Drosophila melanogaster: one gene and its partners. The protein of the gene in region 1 interacts with the protein of each later gene in a pairwise test. Each region holds a gene or a part of one and is shown in the gene's direction. Other genes may lie near its edges. The genes, in order: MSBP, CG9689, CG7379 and Sqor.

What was found.
Region 2: the proteins of MSBP (region 1) and CG9689 interact in a two-hybrid assay, tested with the Drosophila melanogaster proteins (one large-scale study listed by BioGRID).
Region 3: the proteins of MSBP (region 1) and CG7379 interact in a two-hybrid assay, tested with the Drosophila melanogaster proteins (one large-scale study listed by BioGRID).
Region 4: the proteins of MSBP (region 1) and Sqor interact in a two-hybrid assay, tested with the Drosophila melanogaster proteins (one large-scale study listed by BioGRID).

Annotation. Positions count from the first base shown.
Region 1 is NC_004354.4:15,883,097-15,891,628, reverse strand, and holds MSBP (membrane steroid binding protein), read left to right. Parts: upstream 1-1,519; 5' UTR 1,520-1,720; intron 1,721-1,880; exon of another isoform or gene 1,881-1,896; 5' UTR 1,897-1,966; coding exon 1,967-2,327; intron 2,328-3,132; coding exon 3,133-3,285; intron 3,286-3,360; coding exon 3,361-3,593; 3' UTR 3,594-4,062; downstream 4,063-8,532. Other genes in the region: CG15916 (uncharacterized protein), read right to left, coding at 142-957; tay bridge, read left to right, coding at 5,735-7,186, 7,255-8,196, 8,262-8,435, 8,496-8,532.
Region 2 is NC_004354.4:9,877,648-9,885,495, forward strand, and holds CG9689 (uncharacterized protein), read left to right. Parts: upstream 1-4,305; 5' UTR 4,306-4,380; coding exon 4,381-4,902; 3' UTR 4,903-5,105; intron 5,106-5,168; 3' UTR 5,169-6,023; downstream 6,024-7,848. Other genes in the region: CG1468 (uncharacterized protein), read left to right, coding at 797-1,049, 1,173-1,540; CG9686 (uncharacterized protein), read left to right, coding at 2,303-2,791; CG9691 (uncharacterized protein), read left to right, coding at 6,855-7,220.
Region 3 is NT_033777.3:17,794,224-17,802,287, reverse strand, and holds CG7379 (uncharacterized protein), read left to right. Parts: upstream 1-3,983; 5' UTR 3,984-4,178; coding exon 4,179-4,320; intron 4,321-4,401; coding exon 4,402-5,354; intron 5,355-5,415; coding exon 5,416-5,622; 3' UTR 5,623-5,912; downstream 5,913-8,064. Other genes in the region: CG17806 (uncharacterized protein), read left to right, coding at 1-301, 358-493; CG17803 (uncharacterized protein), read left to right, coding at 1,127-1,162, 1,238-1,564, 1,765-2,603, 2,660-2,980, 3,048-3,288; pasi1 (pasiflora 1), read right to left, coding at 6,210-6,293, 6,375-6,425, 6,488-6,587, 6,649-6,923.
Region 4 is NT_037436.4:4,237,018-4,245,597, forward strand, and holds Sqor (sulfide quinone oxidoreductase), read left to right. Parts: upstream 1-3,155; 5' UTR 3,156-3,257; exon of another isoform or gene 3,258-3,321; 5' UTR 3,322-3,378; coding exon 3,379-3,506; intron 3,507-3,768; coding exon 3,769-3,874; intron 3,875-3,934; coding exon 3,935-4,159; intron 4,160-4,217; coding exon 4,218-4,418; intron 4,419-4,476; coding exon 4,477-4,686; intron 4,687-4,886; coding exon 4,887-5,073; intron 5,074-5,126; coding exon 5,127-5,443; 3' UTR 5,444-5,586; downstream 5,587-8,580. Other genes in the region: pav (pavarotti), read left to right, coding at 5,861-5,871, 5,931-6,689, 6,748-7,297, 7,358-7,679, 7,735-8,285, 8,347-8,580.

The DNA of each region.
Region 1 (8,532 bases):
CAACATTTCAAACTTATTGGAAAATGATTAAACGTTTACAGACCCTACCCCTATTTTCAACTTTAGAACCCAATTTACATTGGATTGAATAACACTTTAATAATTAACATTATGTACATAAGTCGAGGGATTTAACAAACGTTAGGTTTTCGCAATATTTTGTCTATGATTAACCCAGGCATCTTTGGACTTGCGCATCTTGCCGAGAATCTTGTCCATAACTAAGCTATGGTTAAAACTGAGGAAATCCTGTCGCATCTCCGGCCATTCCTCATCCGCAGCCGTCTGACAACTCTGTGCGTCGCTTTCTTCAACTTCCGCATTTGAACTAGAGTAACTGTGCTGAAGATCGATTTTGGACAGAACCTCGTGGACCTGATGGAGACCAGTGCTCGTTTTGTCCCGGACAAACTTGATCTTTGGCACTTCGCCCATCAGATGGAGCTGCGATAGCTCGTGCTGCAGTTTGCCGCTCATGCGATTCAATGTGTTCTCGAGCTCTTGGTTCTCCCCGCCATCCTTGCCCATCCAATAGACATTGATGCGGGAGAAGTCGCTGGTGATCTTGACATAGGAAATCTGCACTCCGTGTCCCACGATGGAATCGGCAACTGCGCCGGTGGCCAGAATATCAGTGATGTTCGTCATGAACAACTTGTTCAGAACAGACATGCGTCGATTGTTGTGGCTGCAAGTTGTCTTCGAGTGTGGGGTTCCAAACTTTAAGGCGTGCAGCGACTTTTGATTGCCTGATGTTCCTGCATCGGGCGATGGATACCAATGGCTTTTGCTGCCTTTAAGCCGATTTCCAAACAACGAGCCAAATATTTTTCCCTGTCGCGTTACGTTGTCTTTGCTCGACCTTTTGGAGCTCTTGTTTCGCGAAAGTGCCAATTGGCAGGCGTTGTTAAGAACGGAGTGTCCATTTTGTAGCCTTAAAACACGAATGCTTAACATTTAGTCTAGTTGCCTTAAATATATTTGCTAGCTTAGATAAAATAGAATGCAATACAAAATATAATGTGGAATAACATGAGTGAGACCAGCCACTTGCGTTTTTAAAATGCGTTAGAGATGGACGATAATTTCGAGCACTCTGGACCACTTTAATTTGGGGGATAGCTTATTTGCACTTCATTTAACTTCATATCTAAGAATTCACAGAATAAAAGTTGATTTTCGACAGTTGCTTGCAGAGTAACATGCCATATAACAGGCAAGTGTTTAAATAACCAAGTTTGCTCATTTTTATTTAATAATTTAAATTGCATTTTAGTTGTTGTCTTTTCCGTGTTTCAGATTATAAAAATATTAACATATATTCTATTAATTTGGAATAACATCGGAAAAAATCGAAAATATAACGTTACGATATATAAATTTGGAATTTCCGTTCACTGAGAACCGACGTTGATATATATATTTTTTCCCACCGTTCCATGAGAAAACTTCAGTGGAAAGACCGCGTTATATCTGTTTGGTGTTTAACAACACGCTGATATCGCTTCTTTCGATTACTTTTCAGTAATGAAAGACCTTTAACCTACTAAAATCATTGTCACAATTTTCATAGGTAGTTCGTAAAATTGTAAATACAGTAAGTCGCAAAAGGTCGGTGCTGCTGAGCAATAAAGGTATTAATTTATGAAATCATTGTTGCGCAGCAAAAATTGATCAGAGGAATATGAAAATAATCGAATCGAGACGGCACGTCTAAAAGGTGAGCTAATAAACTTTGGAATTTACATTGCAATTACATATGTACATATATTTTGGTCCATTACCATTGCGCTTACATATATTTACCACTTTTTTTCGGAATACCGAACCGCTTTTTTACATAAAATCCGAACACGAAACGCATATTTATTAAATGGCAGTATACACAATTCACAGGTTGATGTACAATATTGTAACATTCAGTGCATAGCGACATCCAGTGCAGCAAGTAAATTAAGCGAACAAGATGGATTCCAAAGTGGGTGCAGATCCTAGTTCGGCCTACGACAAGGAAATCGGCAACAATCTAAACAACGATGATTCCTCATTTCTGGGCAACATAATCCGCGAAATCCTGTACAGTCCAATGAACCTGGCCCTCCTGGCCATCATCTGCTTCCTGGTCTATAAAATCGTTCGGGATCGCACCGAAGTGCCATCCGTGGGCGTTGCAAAGCCATCCGAACCTGAGTTACCCAAAATCCGACGCGATTTTACCGTGAAGGAGCTTCGCCAGTACGATGGAACTCAGCCGGATGGCCGTGTTTTGGTCGCCGTCAACGGAAGTGTTTACGATGTCAGCAAAGGAAGGCGTTTTTACGGCCCAGGTGAGTGCTAGGCTATAAATATTTGAATTTAAGTTGTTCCTAAGCTTACAGTATAGCATATACCTTTAGAACTATTTTCGATTGATCTATTGCCGATTATAAGGAAGGGATTTTGGTATTTTGGTATGTGTTTCATTGCCAAGATCCCATTATTTATATCCCTCTATACGATGTCTATCTATAATTGCAATGCTACGTCACAATATTGGTTTTCCTGATATCTGTAACTCTCTTAATCGCATTTAATTTCTGTGGGAGGAGATATTGCACGACATATGCTCATATCTCTGCTATATTTCGTCATTTTTTTTTGCGCTAAGATTAACAGCTTATCAACAAGAAAGTTTTCGTTTTGAGATAACGCAACTATCTAACCAAATTCAATAATCAAATAATGCCTACCAAATGTCGACTAGGTGTTTTTATTGTTAAGCATGAAATGCAAAAATAGTTCACCATGATCGTCATTTTCATATGAAATAGTTGTCGTCCGCCTTATCAAATCGAAATACTTCCTAATGTAAATGCCTTAATTGAAATGTTCAAAGACACCAAACAGAAACCAGTGGCATTTCAACAACGGCTTGCACTTTTTCCTTAAGTATTTTAACTAAAAGTAACGAGTGCGAGCAAGATGCACGACACTTGTGACGTAGATGCGCAGAAAAGCCTTAAGTTGCGCACTTGATTGTATACTATCTTCTATCAACGGTGCCGTGTTCCTGATGACCAGACTGCTGACTCCAACAAACTAAAACTATATAAATATTTAGATAGTAACATATGATGATTCTCTGCTTTTCAGGTGGACCCTACGCAACTTTTGCGGGTAGAGATGCCTCGCGAAACTTGGCCACTTTCAGCGTGGTTTCAATTGACAAGGATGAATACGATGACCTGAGCGATTTAAGTGCCGTGGAAATGGACTCTGTGCGGGAATGGGAAATGCAGTTTAAGGGTAATTAAATCATATATATATATATGTATATGCTCAGATTCATAGGTAAACTAACGTTCTCATTATGTTATTTAGAAAAATATGAGCTGGTTGGTAAGCTATTGCGCAAGGGCGAGGAACCAACCAACTATGACGATGATGAGGACGAGGAGAATGTTAACAATGATGAACAAGAGCGAAAGAACCTACCCAAGTCGAAAACTGAGACTGATGACACCAAACAAGAAAAGGAAAGTCACATTTTGCAAAGCAATGTAACAAACAAAAATAACGCACAAGATCAGGCCACTCCTTCTACCGACTGTTAGCGAATCGGGTTTTTTGTTTTGCTTTTGGATGTGGCTGTAATAGTTTACTTTCGGTTAGAAACACAACAAAACTAAATAGCATTTCCGACTCTTTTTGATGCTGCCTCTGCTCCTTTAAAATCGAGAACAAGACCTATTTGGAAAACATTTAAAGAACACGCCCCAATTTGAACCGTACAAATCAAGGCATTAAATTTATCGTGAACATTTCAAAAGAATTTAAAACAGATAAAATCGTTTTTGAATGTTATTCTTAGAGTGCAGCCTTGACAAAAGCTATAGTTGTTACTATAATTCACGTTGTGATGTGATCTTGTTCCATATATTATAGTCGTATATTCATACAAATGTAACAAACGGAAATCATAAAATTATTTAAGGAGGAGGCCAATGTGTGGAGGGTATGGGAGTCATTTTCGTGGCAATATAAATTTAAATGTAACTATATTTGAAATACAAATTAAATACTTAAACGTTCAATATCTTTATTTGGGAGGTGGGGGAATCCTGAACTGCAAGAAAAGCAAAAAACAGGTTTTTTTCCTAATAATGGATTTTGATTTATTCCATTTGTTCCCAGTATTTTTTGAAACCAACTTTTCGCATCTTGTTATCGGTGTGAAACGCCCGAAATCGCGGCCACCAGTGGAGACTGGCCGCTACTTCGATAGTTATCATAATGTTATCCCCTTGAAAATGATTTTCTGCAGCTATCGAAAATTTGGTCCGTCTCTGAGAGACTATGTTGGTTCTTTGTGGTTAACAAAATTTTCGGAAAATAATATTGGATTTTATGTAAAATATACATAATAGCCGTGATGACAGTTAGTTTGGTAGCGATGCTTATAACGCGTTGATGCACAATCGATCGTTTTGGCCGTTCGTTGTGCGTTCGGTGTGTGTGGAAAATGTAAAAATGTACGAACAATCGCATACAGTTCACAAAAATTCGTCGTCGTCGTCGTCGTATTTGTATTTGTCGTTGTCGTATTTTGTATGTACGTATGTCGCAATTAGAAAAGTGTAAGTGTGAGCGAGATGACACTATTGTTTCTGTTTCTGCGCTGCTTCTGCAAATCTTTAAGAGAAAAGCCAACTAAAGTTCTGCGAAAGAGTAAAAATAAAAAAGAAGCTGCTTCAAAATGTTCTCTTTAATTAAAAAAAAAATTATTTTATCGTAATTTTATTTGCAAAGGCAACGGTGTGAAACTCTGGTTGAATGGTTTGTGCACTCGCTAGCGGCAGACTTATAGACGGCACGAACACGGAGGCATAGAGAAAAAAGGCCGAAAGAAAGAAGGAAAGCAAGAAAAAAAGCAACAGCAAAAGCAAAACCGAACTGGTGTATATAAATATACATACGTATACTCGTACGAATTTATATGTACGCATGCATGTACGTACATATATGTGCATACATATATTTCAAGAAGAAGAAGGCGAAGAAGCAGCAGAGGAGGAATACGAAGAAGAAGAAGAGTATATGACGAATGATAAAGTGCTAGACAAAATAAATATGGACTATTTTCGGTGAATTCTCATATCGGCTTTATGTTATTTATTTTTTTTATTATATTTTACATCTGTTCTGATTTGTGTGCAATCCCACTGACCCGAAAAAACAATAAGTGTTTGTTGTAAAAAAGAAGTGTGCAGAATTAAATATTATGTGTGTGTGTACAGAAAAAAGCGCAATAGGGAAGTTGACTACAAGAAAAAGAGCAAACGAAATGAAAACAACTTGTACAATTATTATTTTTAACCAAATTAGTGACTCTAATCAAATATGTTAACCGGTCGGAATGTGAAAAACCCCACAGTGGCCACCAAATAACAATATCACGTAAAAACAGTCGGCGCAGCATCGATTTTTTCAAAATACACGCGATTGAATCGGCCGTAGTAGCACCTTAAATCCAATATTTGTAAAGCTTTCTCGCCTTATCGCTGGCATAGAAAACCCCTCCTTCCAAAGAAAAAAAAAAAAAAAGTAAAGAAATATAGATAAAAATAATAGTCGAATGCATTGGAAAAGGTTTGGTCCAGATAGCAATATACATAATAATGCTCATCGATAATTTGTATTCCCAAGGAAAAGGAACTGAAGTGTAATCCACTGGAAGCTTTACGTAGCAAAAGAAATGGACACATCAAATGCCAGCGCTAAATCAAAGACGTCTGCGTCGGGCAGCAGTAGTATTAATGGAATAGGATCCCAAATCAAGCATATATCATCGTCGCAGGACATCGGATCCTCCGTTCCCGCTGTCCCAGTCCAGGATGAGAAGAGCGAGTCGCACTCCCACTCACATTCACACTCCAGCTCCAGCTCACAGTCGTCCCAGTCGCAATCGCAGTCACAGCCACAGTCCACAGTGCTCACGGTAGTGGGCCAGAGTATATCAAAGAGTTCGACCGGCGCCCTGGCGGTACTGCATCTTCCTCCGCCGACGGCGACCGCCTTAGTTCAAGCAAGTGCCAATATAGCCGATCTGGGCTCCATGCCTCGTGCTCGGCCATCGTTTGTATCGAACACCTCCTCGACGGCGGCGACGACGACGACGGCGACGTCGGCATCGGATGGCGGCAAAACCATGGCCGTGGCAGCGATTCCCCCGGCATCACCTGTCTCCATATCGGAGCCCACCTGTCCATCTGTTTCGACGGTATCGATGGCTCCCAGTGCCTGTGACTTTGACTCCGACACGGAACTCTCGATTGTGGCAGCTGCAGCGGCCGTCTCCGCCTCAGCCGGCATAGATTCGCGATCCCCGACGTCTCCTCCGACGGCGGCGGGATCCACAATAATGCCACAGCTGAATTCCAGTGCGGGAGGCACTGCTAGCATAGCCGGTAATCAGTCCGGCTTCGGAGCGGGATCAGGAGCGGTGGCTGCTGGGAATACCAATGGCCACAGCACCACCTCCAGTAGCAGTACTCATCTGAGTCTGAATGCCAAGCAACAGCGCCAGCAGAAACGCCGGAGGGAACGTGCCCAGCGTTTGCAAGCGGAACGCGACAGTCGATGCAATGCCAACTCGCTGAGTGGCACCTTCATAGCCGGATCCTCTGTGGGGGTCGGCAGTGCCATGAGTGCGGCCAACGGTGGCCAGGGAGGTGGAGTTGGCCTCGTCACGCCTAATAGTAGCGTCGGTGGCGGATCCTCGGCTGTTGCAATGGGCAACGGATCGGCGGCAGGACCCGGCAACAATGGGATGATCTATCACATCAACAGCGCTGGCAGCATGGGCGAGGATAGCAACAATTCAAATGGAAATTTCACCAGCAGCAGCAATGGCAGCAACAATCTGCTGCCGCCCACAGATAGTATTGCATCGTTACTCCTAAATCCACCACATTCCCCCGAGTGCAACTCGGGATTGATGGCCACGCCTAGCGATAGCGAGGGTGAGTCGCTGGACGAGGATCTGCTCTCGACCTCGTCCTCGTCCACACTGCTCTTGCCGCGCGACAAGCCACCGCCTCGACCACCACCTCCGGTTCGAAGAAAGCTGCCACGATCTCCGGTGCTCGAGGAGGAAATCATCGATGGATTCGCTATACTGGAGTTTAAGACATACGAGGATCTTGAGGTAGGTTTCGTTGCCATTTCATTTCATACGTGCACGCAGCCTACTGTAATAATCTTTCTTCACAACAGTTTGCCATCAAATTGGGACAGAAGCGGAAGGAGAAGCGTCTATCCGCACTGGACGAGCTAACTTGTACCTACAGTATAGAGGAAATGAAAATCCCAAAGGTTATAGATACTGGTCAATCGCAACCGTTGCGTGTCACCAGCCTGTCCACTTTGACTGTTAACAATAACAATCTGAAGGAGAACCCGCAGCCAAGCCTTCATCGTGATCGTGGCGGCAATGTCATTAGCAACAATAATAACAATAACAGCAGCAACAACAACAACAGCATGATCAACAGCAATGGCCCCAACGCGAACAGCAATAGCAGCAGTTTATCCAACGTGGTCTACCTGCTGCCATCTGTGAACATGGTGGGCAATGTTCTGGAGACGGAAGCCGAGCCCAGGGATCATTGGCGATCCGAATATGGGCAGCAGCAAGACCAATTGCAATCGGACAATAGCGCAAACAGTAAAAGTAATAATAACATTAGTGATGATAATCAAATTAACAATAGTAGCCACCAAATAAACCACACAACCAACAACCAATCGAGCAAGCAACAACAGGCGGCGGACGGTGGTTGCAATGCGGCAAAAATGCAAGTGAACAACAGTGCTACTGTTAGTACTCGATTTTTGGAGAACGACAACGATTCACTGATGTTGGATATCAGCCTGCCATCGCTGGGCGTTGGTGGCGCCGTATCGCATAGTCATGACCACATTGACGTTGGTGTGATTCACGCCAGTTGTACTGGCAGCAGCAGCGACACCAAAAAATCTCACAATTCCCCCGCCACGAGTAACACTATTGACCAATTGCACGTAACAAAACCGCTGCCCACGCACCAGCTCAATAATCTAATATCAAGTGATCTTAATGCCGCCGCAAATGCAAACGCAAACAGTAATCACCTGGGTGTCTGCAAACTGGGCTCGCAATCAGCACAGGTCGCAAAGGTGAGTCCACCTCAACTGTCCGATAAGATGTTATTTACTAATAGTTATCTTAACTCGTTGCCCAGAAGTCGATGGGTTTGGAGAACATTGAAACCGTGACGAATTCAGCGACCTGCCGCTCCCTGGATATTCAGGAGCTGGCCAATGTTTCGGCGCAATCCTTTGGGGCCAGTAGCAGCAGCAGCAGCAGCAGCATTAGCATAAAGAAGGAAAACGAGCAAAGTGATCTTTTGAACGATGTAAGAATCCATTTCTTCAACGCAAAATATTTTGTTAAAACGAATCTTCTGTTAATGTAGGCTTCAACCAATTGTAGCAGCAACAGCAAAGGAAATA
Region 2 (7,848 bases), 6.0 Mb from region 1:
GCATATCGCGATGTGCGAGGTCCTGACACTTGCTGATGAGTCAGCTGCTCGGAAATTCGGTGATCAAGGAAGCGGATCGAGTGCACATCAATTTAAGATGAGATACATTATTAAATCAAATCGTTTTAATTAAGTTAAGATATAGAGCTTACTGCATTCTGAATGCAAGTGTGCAATTAGAATCTCTCACAATTGGAAGAGGGGTATATTTTTCGGTGTCACTAGGGCTTAAAATTTCTTGGTATCTTTGTTTCTTGGTTTTCTTCCAGCCGGTCTCCAATTTTTACCAAAGAAACGTACTGAATATTGGTTTGGACTTACAAATAATAGTTCCACACATTTGTTTATTTATTAATTATGTGCCTCGCTGATTGCGATATGCCCAAGAAAACAGGCGTCTCACTGCTTGGCCAATTTCCGCCATCTGTCGCAGATTCTCGTCTCCTCCTGATGGCGTGCCACTTTTAAAGGCATGGGTGGATAGGAGGTTTGGGCTTTTAGCCAAGCTCGAGGCAATTATGTTTGCGGCTAATTTGTTGCGCGTCCGTGGAGGAAATCTAATTTGTGCGGACATTGATGCATCGTCACGAGGCGTGAGACGCAATTATGCGAAGCGGACCGAAAGTATGCAACATCCTGGTGCGTTCTTCGCCAATTCTTAACCCCCTCCCCACCCATCAGCAATGGACCAAGGTCAGAAGGTTATCAAATTTGATAAGCTTCCGCACAGTTTTGGTTCCGTACGAGAAGCTTGCAAGAGAAGCTCCTCCAAAACAGTCGACCTACAGACAACGCGATGAGCAGATCCCTGTTTCTAATTCTTTTATTGGGAATCTCCTGCCTGGAGATTTTCCAGGCTCGCTCTCTTCTGGAGGGGAGAAAACAAAGATTTGTGCGCAGACGCATATCACCCGACGATCCTGATCTCGAGATCATCGAGGTCAAGGACGTCTACTACCGAAAGCGGCCCAAGAAGTTGGTTGTCCAGCTCGATGATGACGAATTAAACTGGAAAATTCGCTGTGACTTCGATCCAAGCAATCCGGAGTGTAAGAAACAAGACAACATTATTTCAATTCACTTATGCAAATAGATGTTACGCAAGTTTAATTGCGAGTAATCTTAATATAACATCGTAGCATTTTATAAACATAATGACTTTTCTATATTAGGTGGAGATGTAGTGAAGAAACCCGTGGCTCCTATCAGGCCAACCACAACCACCAACCCCACCACAACCACTAGCAGAACCACCACCACCACCACAACTGAACCCACAACAGAACCCACAACTGAACCCACAACTGAACCCACAACTGAACCCACAACTGAACCCACAACTGAACCTACAACTGAACCGACAGAAGCACCAGATACAGATGATAATATCGAATTGTTCGGCGACAATGAAGAGGACTCTGAGGATCAGGAGGATCTAGATGATCAAGGAGATCAGGAGTATCAGGAGGTTGACCCCTATGGCACTTACGATAGCCAAATCCACTCAATTGGGGCTAATGATGACGGCAACTGGAATTAGACCCAAATGAAAAGCAGCAAATGATCGATTCGATCTGTTGACTCAATTGAACATCAATAAAATGGCAATAGCGGAACTGCGCTACATAATGTAATGCTACATAAATGTCTTTTCGAGGGTTGACAGAAAAGTTATGCATGTAACTTTTTGATGTTATAGAAAATTCTGCAAAAAATCGCAGTAGCAGTTTTTATCTGTTTTATGGCCTCTCCCTCAAATATCTGCAGTTTTTCGAGAATGTTCTGGCCTCGCCAATTGTTATATAATCACTAGTAGCTCGTGCCATTGTAGGTCAATTCCAGACTAGTGCGTCTGAGTCGAGTGTAAATACCAATTGAACGTATCTCGTTTAGTATATATACTATATGGTCTATTTATATGCCATATTTGTCACAGCTTCCGGCTTAACGGGGAAATAATCGTATTTATTTGGGAAATCGTAGCGATACTAGGATATACATTTAAAAGGGCAACATTATCTGAATGACCATCACGGAATCATCGGCCTGCAGCTGTATCTCCATCCATATCATTGTGTATTTGTATCTTTGTCGAGTTGTGCTTAAATCAGCGCACAATTGCGATGATTGTTGCCGTTCGCCAATTGAATTAAAGAAAATGCGAAGCAAGTGACACACAAAGGCGACGGCGATACGAATAAAATGGGTGGAAATCGAAGCGCCCCAGGTCAGTCCAGTATCAGTGGAGTCAACGTTCAGTCTGGTTTTTGTGGATAAAGCCAAAGGAACCGAATATATCAAGATGAATAGCTTGCAAGGATCGCTGGTCCTCCTGCTGCTCGCCGGAGTTTTTCTTCAAAGTCAGGCGGGTCTCTTCGATTGCGAGGACAAGATACCCGGACTTGGAGATGTGAGCGATAAGATATCGGAGATTACGGGCAGCAGTAGCAGTTCGGAGCACGAGGTGCGCGACTTCTTCAAGAACGTGGGATGCCACATCAAGGAGGGAGCCAAGAAGCTGGGCGAGAAGGCCAAGGACTTGGGCACGGAACTCAAAGAGGGCGCCCAGAAGCTGGGCGAGAAGGCCAAGGTCCTGGGTAGCGATCTCAAGGATCGCTTCGATGACTTCCGCGACAAGCTGGCCAAGGATTCCGCCGAGGAGATGAGCAAGGATCGCGGCTTTCTGGCCAACGTGGAGATTATCAATCCGGACATCCTCAAGGGCGAGCAGCAGTGTGGGCATGGACACATTCTGGATGCCTTGGGCAACTGCAGCAAATTGAGGAAATAGTCCCCAAAGAGTCCTACCCCCTCCCGTTAACACTTAAGTTTTTTTATGAGTTTTTTTTTTTTATGTGTAAATAAAAATGGACAGTAAAAATACAAATGTGGAAAAGTCCCTATTTCTTGGTATGTGAATTTTTAGTGTTTTAAACAAAGTATTGGAAATAATACTCCAAATAAGTTGTGCCATATTGCGTTGAGTAATTAATGCAATACCCAATCGAAATTTAATTTTCTGAGATATTTGATAAGTTTTTGGGCTATAACTAAAAAAATAATAGTCCAAATGTGGAACTAAATACCTCGTTGAGTTCGTCATTAAATTTCCAATCAAACTGTATTAAAAAAATGATATTCAAATTTTTTTCCATTTTATGCAAATTTTGATGATGTTACCCCTTACAAAAAATGAGAAAATTGACCCAAAAATTAATTTTCCTAAATTCTTCAAAAAGTGATATTTATCGTTAGCACTGGTAATTAGCTGCTCAAAACAGTTATTCTTACATCTATATGAGCATTTTTAGCCTAGTTATGACGAAAATTCCGTTTGTAAATATCAACTTCTTGGCAAAATCCGTTTTTCCGAATTTCGGTCTTCAGAAACAGTTTTTTTGCCATAACTTTAAAAATAATTGTCTGAATATGGAATGCCATATATCATTGTGCTCGTAATTAAATTTCCAATCAAACTGCGTTTAAATATGGAAATAAAATTTTTTTGCCATTTTTTGCAAATTTTGATGATGTTACCCCTTACAAAAAATGCAAAAATTGGCCGAAAAATTAATTTTCCTAAATTCTTCAAAAAGTGATAGGGATCGTTAGCACTGGTAATTAGCTGCTCAAAACAGTTATTCTTACATATATATGAGCATTTTTAGCCAAGTTATGACGAAAATTCCGTTTGTATATATCAAGTTTTTGGCAAAAGCCGTGTTTCCGAGTTTTGGTCATCAAATAATCAGTTATTTACATATTCTTTCATCTTTATGAGCATTTTCAGCCAAGTTATTACGAAAATACCATTTGTAAATCAGTTTATTCTTTGGCTATTAGCTATTTAAACGACAAAAAAGCGTTAGTATCGAATTTTTTCCAATAGTCGTTTTCTGATGTCCCACCATTGAGGCATTCGCTTTTTCACCATAACAACGAAAACAATGGTCCAGCTGCATTAAACCGGGTGTTCTTTTAAAAGTTTAGTTGAGATGCCGTGTGTAAGTTGAACTTGATGGATTAGTCACCTTTACAATTGCAATAAGTAGCCGTAAATATTTCTCTTTTCCCATTTTTTCTCTATTACATTCTGGAGAATTCTCCGGCTCTCCGCTACCTCCCGCCTTTTACATTTCCCAAGTCTCATTTTTTCTAGGCCTCTCTCTTCGCTCGCCGAAAATGCATTTCTGTTGCCCGACGACTTTCTCGCCGAGCTTCGTAGCTCGAAAACCCAATGGCGCAGCCCAAAAGCCACAAGATACCCAAGAACTTGGTCAAGTGGCTACGACTGCGGCTGCAAACGGGTTTCAGTCGATTGTGGGGCCTCAGAGGCGATACACGATATTCAAGATTTGAGATTCGAGATCCACAATTGCGATGACTAATTCATTGACCATCGCCGTCTTTTTGGCCAGCCTGTGCCTCTTTGCCAGTTGTGGTCAAATGCAGGCAGCCTCCATTGTCTGCGGATCGGAGGCTAAGTCTGCAGAGGATGGTGATTCGGTGACCACTCCCAGTACCAGTGAGGTCAACAAATTCGTCCACAGCCTGCAATGCACTCTGGAGAAGGCCAAGCCCTGGATAGCCAATATCGAGAAGGAGGCCAAGATCTTGGAGGAGAAGGCCAGGGATGCCACCATATCGCTCTTCCAGCGCATAAATAAACTGGTCAATGTGCTCGCCTCACCGGTTAAATTCGAAAAGGATAAGGAAAAGGATAAGGATGAGCAGAAGGAACCGGAGGAGGTCACCACCACGACCACCCCTTCCACATCGGAGGCTTCGAGTTCCTCCAAAAACGATCTTAAGGAGGAACTAACCACTTCTGCGCCGCCAGTTCACTTGGACTGGCTGGAGGATCATGCCAATGAGGTGGACTACATTCCAGAGAAGAATTAGTGAAGCACTTAGTTAAGCACTATGCTAATATATATGTATACTAATTAATAAATTATGTTGCTCTTTATTCGATGAGCCTTTCCTATTTATGAATTTACAGCATTTAATTTAATATATTTTTATATAATCTATTTTGTAAAATATCAAATGTAAAATGTACGAACTCGTTTGCTGATTCATCATTGCAACTGGTATACATATGGGTAAGTTCAAGTATACAACACATTTCATATATTATTATTTCTAATACATCTTTTTGTTTGCAGAATTCACTTTCGAAATGATTTAAATAGATCAAATCTAAAGGGTCAATGTGTTTGTAGTTCAAGTCCGGTGTTTACAAAAGAAATCTTGAATTTAGCATAACTGGAACCCAAAAACTTGTTGTGACTACAGAGCCAATTGGGTTTAAGTTCTTAATGAACCGCTTCCTCCGCTTTGGTGACTCACTTCACTTGATTGTGATTCTTTCCCGACTTTCTCTTCTGGACTTTTCTTGCCACTGTGGTTATTGGCCAAAAATAAACAAACAGCCTGCTAACTGAAGCCCTGCAACTCCGGCATAACTTGTGAGCCGGTTTTGGTCTCAACGGATCAGTGAATCAGTGAATCATCCCAGCGACAGGAGTCTCATTGGGCCGATCTCACTGGATGGGCTTCAATTGCTAATTGCCAGTCGTCGGGAAAGATGCAGCTTCTGGGCACCAGCGGACTACTGATAATCATCGTCATCATCTCCCTGTCATTGCCAATTATCCAGGGGATGGTCTGGTCGGGATTTATATGCTCTGCAAGGGATCATCGCGGCTGCTGCTACAATTGGGTATACCCCACACGTCCCAGGCCGCCATGTGCCCCCCAAAGAAGTCGGAATTCGGGTCAAAAGAATGGGACACCCAAATGAGTAATTCGAGCTCTACAAGCACAAGAAATAATATATATTTTTTAAATTATTATAAAAACAAAACAATGCACTTTAAAGGCCTAACACCACAAAGAATAAATTTCACAGCGCTAACGGACTCACAGTATAAATTGCAACTGTAGTCAGATATATTATAAGCAAATATTTTTTTGTAGCGTGAATAAAGAAATAATGATCTTATAATTATCTATATCTGAAATGAAATGATTGTTTTTCTTTCACAACTTATCTGTAACATGGGAAAGTAAATTGGGGTGCAAATAATATTAAATTGAGCGTTGGTTGACAACATTTGATAGTTGTTTGATATATAAAAACGCTTCCGTAGCTTTGTTCATTTAAGTTGATTATCCATCAATTTCGCGTAAAATTTGTATAAACAATAAGTAAACATTTAATGGAGCACACTTTTCACACAGAAAGCCAGAATGTAAGCGAATAAATTGAAATAAACATATCATTCACGTTATTCATCAATAATTTTCTATAAATTTAAATTAAAATTGCAACAATTTTTTTTAATTGAATTCAAAACAAGCTTTATGAATTATTTATAATAATTACCCGTTAATCGCAAGTTTTTTTGTTGATTAAGACTATTATTTAATAATCATAGATATAAATATTCTAATAAATAGACAAAAAACGTTCGAAGCTCAAAGTAATGAAATTCATTTTAACAAGCTAAGAAAACACTATAGATTTTTTTTTAATTTTTTATGTTTTAAGATAAACATTATATAGTTGATCTTTTCAGGGCCTTTAAAAACATCTATCTACTTTCTCGCAGTGCAGTAAAGCTTACATTACAAAAAAGCTAGAGCAGCTCGCATTGAGTGAGCGCCAAACAACCGATCGCACGAACGCAACTTGTTTGGGATTTAGTTTTCAGCCAGGGTGGATAAGTTGCGGCGGGCGGGATGGGAGGGGCGTAACCGGTTGGCGGAGATCCGAGATTTCAGATCGTAGACCGCCGTCTCGGAGCGGAGCGATCAGTCAGTCGCGTTGTCAAGCTGAAAGCGTAAAGATGAAATCGCTCGTTGTGTGCTCTTTGATCGGATTGGTCCTGCTTATGGCCGCTGGCCAAGTTCGTGCCGAGTGCGACGAGGCCAAGAGTCCCGAGGACAGCGAATTCAAGCACTTCTTCAAGAACCTAGGCTGCAAGGTCAACCAGGGGGCCAAGGAGGTGGCCGAGGCCGCCAAGCCCTACACCGACAAGATCGGCGAGGGCGCCAAGGAGTTTGGCAGCTCGGTGGCCCAGAAGTACGACGAACTGAAGCACAAGCTGACCGATGAGCCATCGACCACGCCCAAAATTCCAGTGGCCTATGACGCCCCCACCGAGAAGGTCCTTTTAGCCCCCATCGGAGGACCCAGCACCCCGATCCCATGAGGTCAGCCCGCCCATTCGATCCGAACCAAAAGCCCAGTTTATTGACAGCCCATTAATCTTATGATTACAGGGATTTTGCAATCGCTTGAAGGTCCCCTCCGTCTCGTTGCATAAGTTTTCTTTGTTTTTTTTTTTTTTCTTTGTGATCTATATTAATAAAAACTAAAGTGATGTTGGAATCGTGAGCTGTGTTTTTTGCGACTTTAGTATGGCTGATAAGCGGGGATCACAGATCGATGGTTATCAGTTGGGGGCTAATTAAGTTAGACACACAGGGGAAACAACAAATCAATTATTTGGGAATCTTTCACCCAAAACGACGTACACATTCAAGGAGAACAAGAAAATCTAATCACAATATAACCAAAACTAAATAGAATAAACTACAATGAACTAGAAAGCAGAAAACGATCAAAATGTCTGCTACTAATCACCACTTCGTAACCATTCATTTTGTAGAACAGACAGTTCAATGTTCTTTTCCCTCAAGTACACAAAGTTTTGATGTTGAGTTATTGGGAAGAAAACAAGGTAACAAAAAGCGACACATTAAAGCAATAAACAACTGGATGGCATAGCAAGCCGCAAGTGATTTACATTTGAATCGTAAATCGCACCGTAAACATTT
Region 3 (8,064 bases), on another chromosome or scaffold:
TGCACCTCAGACGGCACAAGGGCACCAAGGAGTTCCAGTGCCAGGAGTGCGACCGCATGGAGTTCACCCAACACCTGCTCAATTTGCACGTGCGGATTAAGCATCGCGGGGAGCTGCCCTACGTGTGCAAGTACTGCGGCAAGCGATTTGACAACTGCCTCAAGCGGCTGAACCACGAGCGCAACCACAAGGAGAGTCCCGTCCACCGACCACACGTGTGCTCCACATGCCAGAAGGCCTTCAAGACTTCGACGGCTCTCAAGGACCACATCGTGGTCCACACGGGGGAACAGCCATTCCAGTGAGTTACGGTCAAACAGACACTGTTTGGATCTTTACTTAATACATTTTCTTTAGCTGCGAGCTCTGCCAAACGTTCTTCAATAGAAGGAACGCCCTGGCCACCCACTACAAGTCGAAGCACCATCGCCTGAAAGTTGAGGAGCAGTCAAAAATGCCAAAAATGGATGCTACTGTCCAAGCGGATGGGTAAATCGTTGGTTCCTTGAGAGGATTATTTCGCATGTTCTGCTATTGACATGCAAAATGCCCCTCTGGAAACTTTCTAAAGTTGATGTCAATAAAAATTGGTTACAAATTGCTCCCTCATCCAAGCTGAGTAACGGGTATCTGATAGTCGAGGACTCGACTATCTTCCCTTGTTTCCTAATAAGATATGGCATAGCAGTAAATTGTGGTTTTGCTAACATCAATAATTTTCAATAAAGAATATAATTAAAATAATGAATTGGGCTATTCTCAACAAGTGCTTAAAGTAAACAAAAAGCTTAAAGCCATATGCACCGTACTAAAATCGCTACGCCCGTGAAAAGTGCTCTTGGCTACGCACATGGACACAGCCTGGAGTTCAACCCCTAGTTCAAGGTTATGCAGCCCTGCAAACTGTGCTTGCTGTTTTGCAGAAATTCGCAGTTTGCCGGCAAAGGATGAAGTGCGCAGTTCGCATCTGCGGCAACAGATTCCTCTGCGAGTTCGCCAGTCCAAGCACATCTCGGTGAAAGAAGAAAGCATATTCCGGACTTTCCCAACAGTCCGCGAAACTTTTCATCGACTCAACATTGCCGAAAACGGGAGAGCTCAAATTATTTGCGAATAACTTTCACAGATGAGGTCGTCTAGGACAGCCAGCGATTCAAAATGGGTGTGTCACTCAAACTCTTATTAATATTCTAATCTGGTATATTATGTATACCTTCGTTTTTTTTTTGCATTCAAGGTGCGCCAGTCAAACGACAACAAAGACACAATGCGCTCCTCGCGGCAGGTTAACAAAAAGCTTGTGAAGCTATTCCTGGCGGAGGCAGACGACAGTGACGCCACCTGCACCACATCCACTGCCCTGGACACGACCACAGCAGACAGTGCGTTTTTTGATAGTGATTTCGAAGAGGAGAGCACTGGGCTCCAGGAATGCGATCCCCCGCCGGCAAGCAAGTGCCGCACCTGCTTTCGCATCATATCGCGGCATGAGGATGCTCAGGATCTATATGACAGGGTCAACATAGCGCTTCTGCACCACATAAAGGTCATCACTGGGGTGTGGGTACGTCTGCGTCTGCATTTAAACTTACGTTTTCTTTTTTGTTGTTAAATTGTTTCATCTTCGTTTTATAAGTTAACTTTGTTGACAAGGAACATAATATGTGAGTTCTTAAACTGTTCTACCACAAATTTAACAGAAAAATAAACCCACTATATAATATTATAATAAAGCTGCATTAAAGAACTAACATTTTATTGCAGATACAACAAGGAGTCAAAGAGCTACCGCATCACATTTGCTCAACGTGCCAGGAAACTGTGAATAAATCCATGGAATTCCGTGCCAAATGCCAGCAGGTCGACAAAAAGCTTAGGCAGACGACGGAAAAGTACAACATTCAAATCTGTGACGAGGAAATGGAGTCGGAGCTGGAAAATGTGCTCTACGAAGAGTCCGCCCAGCAGGCAAAGGGAGTCGTAGGACTAGAAGATTTCAGCTCAGAGTTGTTGCCGGATAGTGAGGGTGTCCTGGATGAAGACGACTTTCCACTGGATGCAGAGCCAACTCAGTTTTCACTAAGTGAAGATGAGTTGGATCTAGACAGAGACACAGAAAAAGACTTTGCTTTGGAGCAAAACAAGTCATGTAATGAAATAATTAGCATACGAAAGTGTAAGACTAAGGAAGAGATTGGTAAGGTAGATCACGGAGCCAAGGTCTATAAGGTTGTGCTCGGTGAGTACAATAGCCTAAAGGAAACTGCACCAAAGTATTCGCTTTCACTACCAAAGAAACCTCAACTAAGGGTGAGTCCAGAGGAGAAAAACCGAAGGCGCCGCGAAAGGATACAAGCGAAGCCATTGAACTATGTCTGCGACAAGTGCGGCCACACCTTTCGCCAACGCAGTCAGCTGCAGATGCACTTGCTCCGTCACAATAGGGCCAAGAATTTCGAGTGCCCCGAATGCCCGAAGAAATTCTACGATCTCTATACGCGCAACATTCACGTAAGAGCGCTGCACAAGGGCGAGCATCCCTTTCCCTGCAACCATTGCAATGAGTCCTTCGCAAACGCAAGCAGTCGTCACAGGCACGAGAGGTGAGTGCACCTACTATTTGATGGTTCCATCATCTAATCACTTCGATTGACTCCAGGGATGTTCACGGAGCAGGCAATCGGATTCGAACGCGGGTGAAATCAAAGGAAGAGGGATCCAGTCGCCATTACTGCACCCAGTGCACCAAAAGTTATACCAGCAAGAAAGGTCTAGTCCTGCACATGAACTTCCACAACGGAAGCAGACCCTTCCAGTGCAAGATTTGCCAGATGAAATTCGCTGACCCATCTGCCATGAAACGACATCAAGCTTTGCACGACAAGTTTCCCATTCGCTGTGACATCTGCCTAAAGGGATTCCTGCTGCGCTCCCAACTAACAAAGCATCAGGATGTACACACAGGAATGCATCCTCATCGGTGGGTGCAAAAGAGAATCCCGACTACTGTCCGTTTACTTATTTCTTTACTTGATTTATATTGCCAGGTGCGAGATCTGCGATGTTCACTACCGCCATAGATATAATCTAAACAAACACAAAAACACCGATTTGCATCGGGATAATATGCAGAAAGCTATAAAAGAAGAAGTTAATGGACTGCAACAAGCATTTAAAGATATTGATAAGGAAATGGACTTTGAATCTCAAACACCAATGCAGCCAAATGCACAGGAAGTGCGAGCCAGAACTCAGGATGAAAAGACTCAAACTATTGAATATATATAATTTTTATAAAAATTTATATACTTTCATGGCGAAGTACGTAATACTTCTAAGGTGACGTTTAGTAAGTGCCGACATAGAAGATAATGCACGAACAATATTTTAAAAATATATAATTCGTATAATAGTATTATGCATTTAATAACGTTAAGCTTAATGAAGAATAGACTTGACAACCTAAATACAAATCTGAATAGTTCAGACGTATGTTTCATGAAAGGAACAATAAATATTTATATTATTAATATTAAATAATAATCAATTAAAAAATAATATAAGTGCATTTGTTTTTCCTAATTAAAAAATCAGCTGATACTGTTATTTGAAATTCTCCAGTTTCCCGGGCAAATGAGTAAGGGGTTGGTTTTGAACGTTTCCTACACTGGCCGTTGAATGAATGATACATGATTTTAAAATTACGATAATTGTAATAAAATGAATACAAAAAAAGGACTGAAAGTAATAATTAAATTTGTATTTAAAGGGAAAATATTTTTAATACTTTCTATTGCCTAGGGAAATGATGAGAAGATATTTGACCACAAACTATTAAAACCAATATTACTTATTTATTAAAAAATTCAACCGAAACAGCAGTGCCGTTAACCACCCCGATTTCAGTGTAGCAAAACACCAGCCGACTAGTGTTGCAAAGCACAACCACCCATTGTATACATACATATAAATAATACCTACGCACACATACACGCACACACGAGTACAGTCGCAAGTTGCGACTCGCAACGCCATACAAAAAGTTGGAACTGAGTGGAATCGGAGTACTATATAGCCAGCCGATCCCTTCCAGAGCGCCGGAAGAGTAGCTCACATCCGAACCCACGTCCCCGAGCCGATGTCGCGGCGGGAATAGAGCGATTCGCAGTCCAAACACGATGATAAACCCCATTGCATCCGAGTCGGAGGCCATCAATTCGGCCACCTATGTGGACAACTATATCGATTCGGTGGAAAATCTGCCGGACGACGTGCAGCGCCAGTTGTCACGCATCCGCGACATAGACGTCCAGTACAGAGGTGAGTTCTGGCCGAGATTACGCCTGTTGGAAAAGCGGAAAACCTAACCTCCTCTCTTGGTCCAAACCCGTCGATTTGCAGGCCTCATTCGCGACGTAGACCACTACTACGACCTGTATCTGTCCCTGCAGAACTCCGCGGATGCCGGGCGACGGTCTCGAAGCATCTCCAGGATGCACCAGAGTCTCATTCAGGCGCAGGAACTGGGCGACGAAAAAATGCAGATCGTCAATCATATGCAGGAGATAATCGACGGCAAGCTGCGCCAGCTGGACACCGACCAGCAGAACCTGGACCTGAAGGAGGACCGCGATCGGTATGCGCTCCTGGACGATGGCACGCCTTCGAAGCTGCAACGCCTGCAGAGCCCGATGAGGGAGCAGGGCAACCAAGCGGGCACTGGCAACGGTGGCCTAAATGGAAACGGCCTGCTTTCGGCCAAAGATCTGTACGCCTTGGGCGGCTATGCAGGTGGTGTTGTGCCTGGTTCTAATGCCATGACCTCCGGCAACGGTGGCGGCTCAACGCCCAACTCGGAGCGCTCGAGCCATGTCAGTAATGGTGGCAACAGCGGCTCCAATGGCAATGCCAGCGGCGGAGGAGGCGGAGAACTGCAGCGCACAGGTAGCAAGCGGTCGAGGAGGCGAAACGAGAGTGTTGTTAACAACGGAAGCTCTCTGGAGATGGGCGGCAACGAGTCCAACTCGGCAAATGAAGCCAGTGGCAGTGGTGGTGGCAGTGGCGAGCGCAAATCCTCGTTGGGCGGTGCCAGTGGAGCGGGACAGGGACGAAAGGCCAGTCTGCAGTCGGCTTCTGGCAGTTTGGCTAGCGGCTCTGCAGCCACGAGCAGTGGAGCAGCCGGAGGTGGTGGTGCCAGCGGAGCCGGCGTAGTTGGTGGCAATAATTCCGGCAAGAAGAAAAAGCGCAAGGTACGCGGTTCTGGGGCTTCAAATGCCAATGCCAGTACGCGAGAGGAGACGCCGCCGCCGGAGACCATTGATCCGGACGAGCCGACCTACTGTGTCTGCAATCAGGTGAGTTCGCAGTGCTTTTCCTATCGAAAAGCTTCGCCACTAATCACGTTTTCTATTGCAGATCTCCTTTGGCGAGATGATCCTGTGCGACAATGACCTGTGCCCCATCGAGTGGTTCCATTTTTCGTGCGTCTCCCTGGTACTAAAACCAAAAGGCAAGTGGTTCTGCCCCAACTGCCGCGGAGAACGGCCAAATGTAATGAAACCCAAGGCGCAGTTCCTCAAAGAACTGGAGCGCTACAACAAGGAAAAGGAGGAGAAGACCTAGTCTATTAGGCCAGCCTATCCAACCCATTGCTCTGTGTCTAACACCAGGCTCTGTAAAATATTCGATCCTAAGATTTACCTTAATGTATATTTAGTGACTTTCTTAGACCCGATCCCTTTTCGACTTTCCCCTCTTTCACCCAGTTTAGATCCCTCGCTTCTATGGTTATAGGTCGTCAGTTTTCATTTAAAGTTTCTGTACAAACAATATCTTTCTCAATGTAAACACACAAAAACTCGTATAATTAGAGTACACCTAAACTTAATTTATGGTAATAAACGTTGATATTCAAAACCCACAATAATTTCTTGGCCCCAAGGAGCCCGTATCCAGTAGCAGTAGTTTTACGAATCTATTTGTTTAATTGTCGTTTAGAAGACTAAGGCATTCGAATTACACATAAGTATAATTGATCGTGTATAAATGTGTGTAAAATATATAAATTTATATAAAACTATTTGGTAGGCATCTGTGGAATTGTATGGAATTCTTATTGTAAAAAATGCGCATGGACGGAGTTCTTGTTGCGTGTCAAGTCAAAAAGTATTCTAATAGATTATTCGAGCTTCTGTATGGAGGTTCTTCCATCATGGCATGAGCAGCTCAATGTTCGGATTCTGGATCTCCAGGAATATCTGGTACTGCGAGAAGACCACCAGCCAGCAATAGATCTAAGTGGATGAGTAAAATGGGTTTATAAACATAATGATACAGGAGTTGGTGTTGCTGTCCCTTGAATTTCAAACACTTACATTGTAGGCTACCCAAACGAAGTTCAAAAGGGCCGAGAAGGTTTGCTCCAGCTGGCGGTAGAGTAACACGAATTCATTAGCTTTAGTTAATGGAAAAGATAATCGCTACTCACATAAATATAGTAGCCTCCAATAAGCCAAAGGCTCCAGCTAAACTGGAAGAGAATGGCTAGTCCAATTAGACCCAGCCAGGGTAGCAGCCATCCTCGAGTGCTGAGAAACAGATGCAAGCATGACTATATCCGTACATATAGGAAGCCAGAGCTCGTCTTACCTGATCTTAATACCGTAGTAGACCAAATAGGAAGACAGGATGATTAGCAGGAAGTAGATGATAAAGAAGCCACCTGCCACGGGCATCGACGAACGTATATCCGTCTCAAAGAGCGGGGAATAGAGCTGCGCAGACTCCCCGCCTGCTAGCATATACGAAATCAGCGTGATCATTACGGCGGATAGCGCAGCCGTATAGCCGGCCACGGCATAGCTTCCCGTCCGGACATTATCCGACCAAATTATGGGCGACCAGCAGGAGCTCAGCACTACCATGTTGCTGTGGGAAAACACCGGGAGACACCAATGAACAAACTTCTCCGATCTCAAATTTCTTTGGCTTGCGTGACAGCGTCAACGCCCAAATATTTTGGTCAATGAAAACGCAGTCGAAATGTATGATTTTCTTCTGCTTTTCAATTGATAGCTACTTCTAAAGGTTAACCTTGGATATATCCTTTTAAAATGTCCAGATTGTTTTGGTTTCTAGGGCGTGGGCGTACCTTTTTTTAAATAATAATCGCTTAATTAGAAAAACAACAACGGCTTGAGCAATAGGGTTGCCATGCGTGCGTAAAAAAGGGAATTATCGATATTTATTTAGTTAAATATATCGCGAAAAGTTATGATATGTTTAATAAATTGAAGACATTTTCAGTAAATAGAATGTTTGCAAATTTAAAGTATGAGAATATTTTAATAAATATTATGATTATAAAATTAAAAAGTGTATGATACTAAATAATCGATGACTATCGAATATAAACTGAAACGCGAGTATGAGCACTGTACAGTATATTAAAATATTTATTATGTTTCCTATAATTCTATTAACTAACAAATGTACAGCAATGTATTTTAAGATATATTTATCAAATGTTTAATTTATTATATAATTGGTATATAATATATTAATTGATATATATAACTAGGTATATAATTTTTAAATTGTGAATTAGCTTAAAATTTGTTTTACACTCTTCAAGCTTGTAAAAACAATAATAATATCTGACCATCGATCGGTCCCACTGTGCAGCACTGAGCAGCTGAGCTGACCGAATCTGAATTCGAATATTCACCATGTGTCGACTGGCGACTGCAGCAACAACAACCACACGGCAGAGTACAGGGCCGGTTGTTGGAGTGATCTTCATTTGGCAATTACATTTGGCCGTGTTCGGAGGTCTCCGCGGATAAAAGCGCCAAAACAGAAGCCGAAAAAGGCCCAAGTCGCTCGCGCTACGTGAATCAGTTATCAGTGGGATTAACCGCGCGATTCGCACGGAATTCAAACGCACATAGTGGCGCAGTGGCAACTTCCCAGTGATCGTCGCATAACGGTAGAAAGGTGAAAACCCGAATCGAATCGAATCGAGTTGAATCGAAGGGCATAACACAGTACCCACACTGCGTGGGC
Region 4 (8,580 bases), on another chromosome or scaffold:
GGCGATGGCAGACCTGCTGCCTCCAGTTGGAGACTCTGCATCAATTGCCGCGGTGTCCGCTATTTGCATTCCAGAGCCCCGGTACCAATTGCACAAAGATCCCGCCACAGACGATGCTGCAATTGATTTTGGTGTGGCGTCAATTGAAATGCACTTCGGAGTCTAGGAGTCTGGGCACGGAGAAAAAATCCAACCAAAATTGGTAATCCGCCTCATTACAATGGGGCTTATATCAGCACAAATAATGCTCTTCAGCTGGACGAGAATAGGCCACCTAATTAGAGTTCTATGGGCCTTTGTTGCTACTTCTTAAACGCCCACTTTTTATGTGGAATATACCACAAAAAACCGGAAAAATATCTAAATACGCACAGTGAAAAAAAAATGTACTCAAAAGTGATGGCTCATCAATGTTTTGCTTGGCAAAAAAAACTCTTATCTGTGCGATTCGTCACTAGGTGGTGATATTTTCAAGGTATTCAAATAATTTAATTAAATTAAGGCCACATATATATTTAAATCTAGAAAGGTCTCTTATCTGCGACAGCAGATGACACATTTTTATAATATATCAGTCTAATATTAAAATATATAGAACAATTCTTTGGTGTAAATATGCATTTCCACTTTCTACTTGTTCAATTTAAAAATTTGTTTTAATTTTAAGATAAAGTATTACGAATAAGTAATGCTTTCTAAAATGTTTCAATTAAATAATCTCACGTATTTGCTGTCTATCTTAAAATCTGATAACTACATTAAACCTATATTCTCAGCCATTTTTTCACTGTGTGGGCCTACGTGCTCCAAGTGGCCTGCCACCGTTATATTCAAATGAAGTGGAGCTCACGCAATCACGGCAACAGACAGCCCGGGGAAAGCCAGCATGATGACCACCAGCTTGGTCATTATCGGTTCGGGAACCACATGATGATGGGACCTTGCCACCGCAGTTGGAAATGGCTGTGAAAATGGTCACCTAGCAACAGCGGCTGCCACGCCCAATTTAAAGCGGCCCCTCGCCCGTTTGAGAGGCAACGAGCACCACCCAGGCACCCAGCCGCCACCCAAGCATCCAAGCATCCAGCCAGCAGGCCAGCCAATCACCCAACCACCCATTGTTTTCTTATAAATATCCGTAGCTATCGCTTGGCCCTCGAATAGCCGCCCACGCAGTCGCGGAGCCAATTTGGCCATCAGTCAATAGGGCTTCATTTGAATTGCCAGCTTGTCTCCAATTGACGATGGGCCACCTCATGGCGGCGGGTCGGGCCCACGCTAGGACCTCGCCAGGACCTGCCCCTCAGCACCCGCCCACGCAGTGGGCTGTGTGTGGCCACATCCAGCCATCCATCTATGTGCCCACACATCCCACATCCGTAAGCCCATCTGCAATCAGTCGGCAGCATGGCGTAATTAAACCCGCCGCTGTCACAGTTGTCGTCTCGTGGCGTTTGACATGTCCGCCTCGCGTTTATTGGCAACATTGTTCACTTAATCATCCCACATTTACCATATTTATTAGCAACATCGATCTATCTGCTCGTATCCGAATGCACGGAATGGGGAGCCGTGGAAAATCCCTGGATCCGAAGGGAAATTGTACTCAACAAGCTTGGTGGAAAGACCCCTAATTTACTATTGTTATTATTTTCATCAGAAATCGAAATTTATATAAATTACATGTTTAATTTTAATTGAAATATCTGGAACCTTTTTCATGATATAATCTTAAAAGAGTTTAATTTAACTTGAATATCTTTATCTATTTCTGAAGTAGCTATAGATTCAAGGTCCCAGAAAAATCCGGGGCATAAAACATTTGCATTATATAACTTTTCGGGTCCGATCATTATATTTTAAGTAAAACCCTTAACGATGAATGACATAGGGATCCTAAAAGACCCTTAGAAAAATCAAACAATACGAAAGTTAAGGGAAGACAAGTTTTTTAAATCTCCTTTTTTAACGAAATACTTTGATTTAAATATGGAATTAAATTGTTATCAACATCTGAAAAATTGCAAAAATCATTTAATTTATATTAGTTGCAATTTTTAAAACTTGATTTAGAGTTTGACGTATATGAGTAGATGACCGCTGCAGTTTATTAATAAGATTTATTGGTGACCTTCATATTCTGATTAGAGTCTGTGCAATCTATTAATTGACCATTTATTTAATGTCCACATATTATAGGAATTGCTTGATAAGACTCGCAAGTAATCAAATCAAATGTGAAAATATTCAATTTTAAATTAAACCAGTTACTTAACCACATGCCTGATTATAAAAATATGCGAGTTTTTCGGCGTTTTTTTTTTTTGTTTATCCTTTAGAAAGCATGCGTATATTTTTACAGTGTAATGGCCAGTTACCAGCAAATGCAACTCAAATTCTTCAAACTCGATAAGGTTGCCCCTGGAGGTATACCATAAATATAAACCGATGCACTAAGAAGGCAAATAAAACGCTTGTTAGCCCCGATAAGCAGGCAAATAAATGATACTTTGTTAGCGCTGAGGAGCCGTATTTAAGGGCATGATCTCATGGGTCGCTTATCGCCGGGTTCCACTGTAGACACAAAGCAAGTGGTCCGAGCACACGCGCCACCTACAGATTGTTTTATTTATTGAGCCCCGATAAGCACACAATTCTTTGCTGTTCTCAGAATTAAGTCCTCGTATTTTAAGGCATGATGTCATGTGTTGTCTGTAGGCAAAATCCACTGTAGATAGTATTTAAGTGCTTCGAGCATTCGCGCACTTTAGAGCTTTGGATTATTTAGCACCAAATGAGCTTTAAACAGCTGAGTACAAAAGCATGCTGAAAAGCTTTTGCCATCTTTCAAGGTTAAGCTATGAATACACCCATCCGAAAACTACAGTGCAACCTGTTGCGTTTTCCCCATTTTTATTACCACATAAAAACTGGTTTTCAGCCACGTACACTCTGATTTTTATGGCCGACGGGCGAAATTAAGAAATACCACATTTTTAGAAGCCTGACACTTTTTCCAAATTAGTACGCTTAAAACAATTCTAACAATTTCTAATGTGTTATTTACTTGTGTTCAAAATCAGTTGTTATGTTCGATTTCACTGACAAATTTTCCCACACTCGTTTTGTTTTCCTTGATAGCCGGTCGAAATGTTGGGAAGCACTACACAGTGCCGCCTAAGCATCTTCGGCATTTTTTAAATTTCTAAAGTTTTTTCTAAATTTGAAATAGACCAAACTTTTTGCCAGTGCAGCCGGTTTGATAACCCCCCATTGAAAGCTCTTTTTTGCCAGTCTTCAATCGGTTGTGGGCACTTGCAGTCCGTTTTGTTTTTCTTTAACGCAGATTGAGGGATCGAAGATCATCCAGCTGTTGCGATGAACCGTCGCCTTCCAGGAACCATCAGCCAGTGCCAGAAGCTTCTCCTAGCCACCCACAACCATGCTCCAACGGCCTTCTCCACCAGATTCCTGTCCACATCTCGAGTGAACCGCGAGCGGCAAGAGTAAGTTTGTTTATATAGCTGCGAAAGTTTATGACATTTTCCGCGAAACAAATGGCATGGCAAATCTATATCTATATCTACCAAAACAAATTGAATTAGTATGTTTAGGCTAGTAACTAATTAATGGCGATAACGAAGAGATAACTTGTTGGCCATGGTTAGATGGCACTGATGGTGGGTGTGGTCATGCGACTGTACTAATCTCCCTTGAGGTGTCTGTCATTGTATATTCCAGCAATTAAGTAAATCCTATTTTTTCCAGATGCCAAGTGCTGGTTGTGGGCGGTGGCACCGGTGGGTGTGCCATGGCCGCCAAGTTGTCCTCACGTTTGGGCAGCGACAAGGTGGTCGTCCTGGAACCGGAAGATGTGAGTAAGCCCAAAGGCAGTAAATAATCCATTATGACATAGCGCGATAATTCCCCATAGAAACATTACTACCAACCCATGTTCACCCTAATAGGAGGTGGTATGAAGAGATTGGATCAGAGCCACCGCCAAATGGCCGATGTGCTGCCCACAAAGGCCAAATGGGTGAAGGAGAAGGCGCTGGAGTTCGATCCGGATAATAATACGGTTAGCACTTCTGGTGGCAAGACCATCAAGTACGACTTCCTGATCATCGCCACCGGACTGCAGCTCAATTATGGAAAGGTACGTAGGGTATCAGTACGTTTAATAGTTGCTAATATCCATATCCACATATCCATAGATACCTGGCCTGGTGGAGGCCCTGGAGACCCCCGACAGTAATGTTTGCTCCATCTACTCGCCCAAGTACGTGGATCATGTGTACGAATGTCTGCGCAGGACCAACAAAGGAAATGCTATATTCACGTTTCCCAATTGTCCCATTAAGTGTGCAGGTGCACCGCAGAAAATCGCCTATATATCTGAGCACTACTTTAGGAAGGTGTGCATCATTTAGATAGAATATCTGGCAAACAACTTCAATTTGAAACCCTTTTCAGATGGGTCGTCGCGACAACGTCAATATCATCTACAATACATCGCTTCCCGTGATTTTTGGTGTTAAGCATTACGCAGAGGCCCTGATGAAACTGATCAAGAGGAGAAATATCACGCTTAATGTTCAAAGAAATCTCGTTGAAGTGAGACATAAAGATAATATAGCCGTGTTCGAGGATCTCGCCAAACCAGGAGTTCACTATGAGGAAACGGTAAGTGCTGGTCAATTAATTGGGTATTCTAGATACTATATAGATCTAGATCTAGATCCTAGAACTATATCTTTCTACTTAAAGCGAGAAATATGAAGAGTAGGTTAACTAAGATCAATTTTAAAGTCGTATAGTATTGCAGAAATAGGAGAATTGAAGGCCATGAAATTAAACTTATATAAGTATTATATCTTTCTCAGTACTCCATGCTTCATGTGACTCCGCCGATGAGCACTCCGGATGTGGTGGCCAACTGCAAGAAACTGGTAACCCCCACTGGCTTTGTGGACGTCGACCAGTTGACGCTGCAGCACAACAAGTACAGCAACGTGTTCGCCATCGGCGATTCGGCGTCCAGTCCCAACTCGAAGACGGCCGCGGCGGCAGGTAAATGGGTTGGGAATCCTGATCAGAATATTCAATTGATTTTTCACCTCCAGCCGCCCAATCACCGGTTGTGTTCAAAAACGTAATGGCGGCGATCGAGGGCAAAGCCCCAACGGATATCTACGATGGATACTCGTCCTGCCCCATCGTCACCGGCTACAGCTCCTGCATCCTGGCTGAGTTTGATTACAACCTCACCCCCGTGGAGACCTTTCCATTGGACCAGTCCAAGGAGAGGTACTCCATGTTCTTTATGAAGAAGGAGCTGATGCCGGTGCTCTACTGGAAGCTGATGATGAACGGCTACTGGAACGGACCGGCACTAATGCGGAAAATTTTCTCAGTGCTAAAGTTTAATAAAAAGCAATAGGGACCTCAAATGATCTTTAATTAATTTTAAAAGAATATTTGGCATCATCATAACCATTCCATACCTTAATATCATACTAATTTATAAACATTGTACTTTTAATTTGGTATGTGAGATCATAAATAAAAGTATTAAATTAGTTTAAAATCTAGTATATCTAAATATTTTAACCTATTCAAATGGCACGCACTGTACATAGCCTCGGTTTCAGTATGTATCAAGTATATATTGGAGCAGGGGATGGTATTTGCAGCATTAACCGCTTTCTAAAGTTCGGTCACTCTAAAACCAAGCGTGGCGTCGCTTGGCGCTGTAAATTTGAAGGTAACGAACTAAAAGAGAGATCGATTCCAGCAACAAAACAAGAAGAAACCCAACTCCCGTATATCAAATTAGTTGCAAAAACGAGCTGACAACATGAAGGCAGTGTAAGTGATATGACAGTTCCCGAAAGAACAACTCCATCAATGAGAATACCCATTTGCAGACCCAGGACGCCGATGCGTGTCGTCCCGAAAACTCCGCGGGTGCATCAAACGGTGGAGAAACAGCGACGAGACACCTCCGACAAGGCCAGGGATCCAGTGAATGTGTTCTGTCGAGTGCGGCCACTACAATCCGACGCAGATCTCACCTCCCTAAGGGTCAAGAACTCCACGACGATCGCACTGAATCCGCAGGATCAGCTGCTGCAGCATCACAAGCCACACAACGGCGCCCAGCGCGAGGTTCAGTACATATTCAAGCACGTTTTCCAGCCGGATGCCACGCAGCAGGATGTGTACGCAGCTGTGGCCCAGCCGTTGGTGGAGAACCTACTGAAAGGCCGAAACAGTCTGCTTTTCACCTACGGCGTGACTGGAAGTGGAAAAACGTACACCATGACCGGCAACCTGCGACACCGCGGCATCATGCCGCGCTGCCTGGACGTGCTCTTTCGCACCATTTCAGATTACCAGGCCAAGAAGTTCGTCTTCAAGCCGGACAAGCTTAATGGCTTCGAGATCCTGTCCGAAGAGGATGCGCTTTTGGAGCGCCAACACGAGATGAACCAGCGTTTTGCTGGCTCAGGACGATTTGCCTTCAGGCACAAGGACTCGGATCCGGAAATTGCATCCCAGGCCTCCGTGGAGCCAATTCCGCTGCTGGGTTTGGATGAGGACAACATGTACTCGGTGTTTGTCACCTATATTGAAATTTACAATAACAGCGTCTACGACCTCCTTGAGGACTCGGGTATACAGAAGTAAGTATTTATTAAGCATTACATTTAAAGAAATCTAACTGTATTCTTGACCCGACAGGACTTTGCAGAGCAAAATCATTCGTGAAGATGCCAATCGACACATGTTCGTCCACGGCGTCACAGAGGTGGAGGTCAAGACCGTGGAGGACGCCCTCGAGGTCTTTCAAATGGGCCAGAAGCGCAAACGAATGGGACACACTGTTCTCAATGCAGAATCCAGTAGGAGTCACTCGGTGTTCAATATACGCTTGGTGCAGGCGCCCACTGATAGCCAGGGTGAGAATGTGGTTCAGGACCGGCAAAACATCACAGTGAGTCAACTGTCCCTGGTGGATCTGGCGGGCAGTGAGCGATCCTCAAGGACCAAGAACACCGGTGTGCGACTCCGTGAGGCGGGCAACATCAATAATTCGCTGATGACGCTGCGCACTTGCCTGGAATATCTGCGCGAGAACCAACTCGCGGCTAGCAATGGATTGGCACCCAAGAAGGTCCCCTATCGAGACTCCAAGATCACACACATGTTTAAAAACTACTTCGATGGCGAAGGCCAGGTGTCCATGATTGTGTGCATCAACCCAAGAATTGAGGACTATGATGAGAATATGGTAAACTATTTTTCTGACAACAATGTACTCTGGTCCCTAAAATTTATTTATCCCGTTTAGCAAGTGATGAAGTTCGCCGAGATGACCCAGGAGGTGCAAATTGCTCGGGCGACTCCTATGAAGCAAGATTTGGGTCTGACTCCCGGCCGTCGCAAGGCCAACAAGCTGTTCAAGATTGCCGTTAATAATCTAAACGAGCTGGGCATTCCTGAGGCCAAGGATTTGGAGGTGGACGTGGGTTTGGTGTACAGTTTGGGACCCGATTTTCCCGCCTACGAAATGGACAGTCCCGAGGCACAGATCAAAATCCGCGAGCTAATGCATTATCTGGAGCAGCGCATAGAAAAGCGAAAGAAGCTGCGTGCCAACTTGGACATTAAATGTAAGACGTCACTTTCTTAATCTTAACATTGAAATACTAATTCCACAACTTTCAGGTGACAGCTTCCGGCAGATGCTGATGAACCTTGACCGCGACAATCTTCAGCTGCGCACGGAGCTCGCCTCCTTAAAGGCTGTTTACAAGCAGGAGCGCGATCGCAGTGCGGCACTCGAGAAGAAGGTTCGCATCCACGAGAGCTCCATTGACGTGCTTAACAATACGCTAAGCAAGCAAGAACGGCAGATTGAAGAGCTGACTTTCAAGCTGAACGAGAAGGAGAATATGCTCACCCAAAAGGAGCACGAGAAGGAAAAGCAAAAGAAGAAGTTCAGCTCCAAGCTGGCCGTTGAGTCGGACAAAAATAAGCGAGAGTTTGAACTAAAGCTGCGTGAACAGCGAGTGAAATTGCAGGAACGCATGCGCATCAAGGACGAGAAGTTGCGATTGGTCTCCAACATTCTGCAGTCCGAAGATCTGCCCAGTTTGCCGCGGTCACAGAGCTCGGAAAACATACTTAATGAGAAAGATCGCGGTGCATATACGGCGCGCACGGAGGAGTCCTCGGTGCCAGCTACACGAACAGATATATATGCAACGCCACGTCATGTAAGTGTATGATTAATCCTAGAATATTGCAATATCTATTGATAATTTTATATCCCAACAGGGTGCAGCAGCGGCCAACAATCGGCATAGACGCTCTCGATCCGCAGGCGACAAGTGGCTGGAGCATCGGGCAGCTAATCCCGTTCCGCTTGGCACTATTATGCAGCCGTATCTGAAGAATCGCAAATCCGTAACGAAACTAACCGACTTGAAGGAGTTGACTGCTCACGGAACTACGAAGTACTGTCTCGTCTCGCAGGATGCGGATACGGATGGCGATGTGGAGACGAAGCTG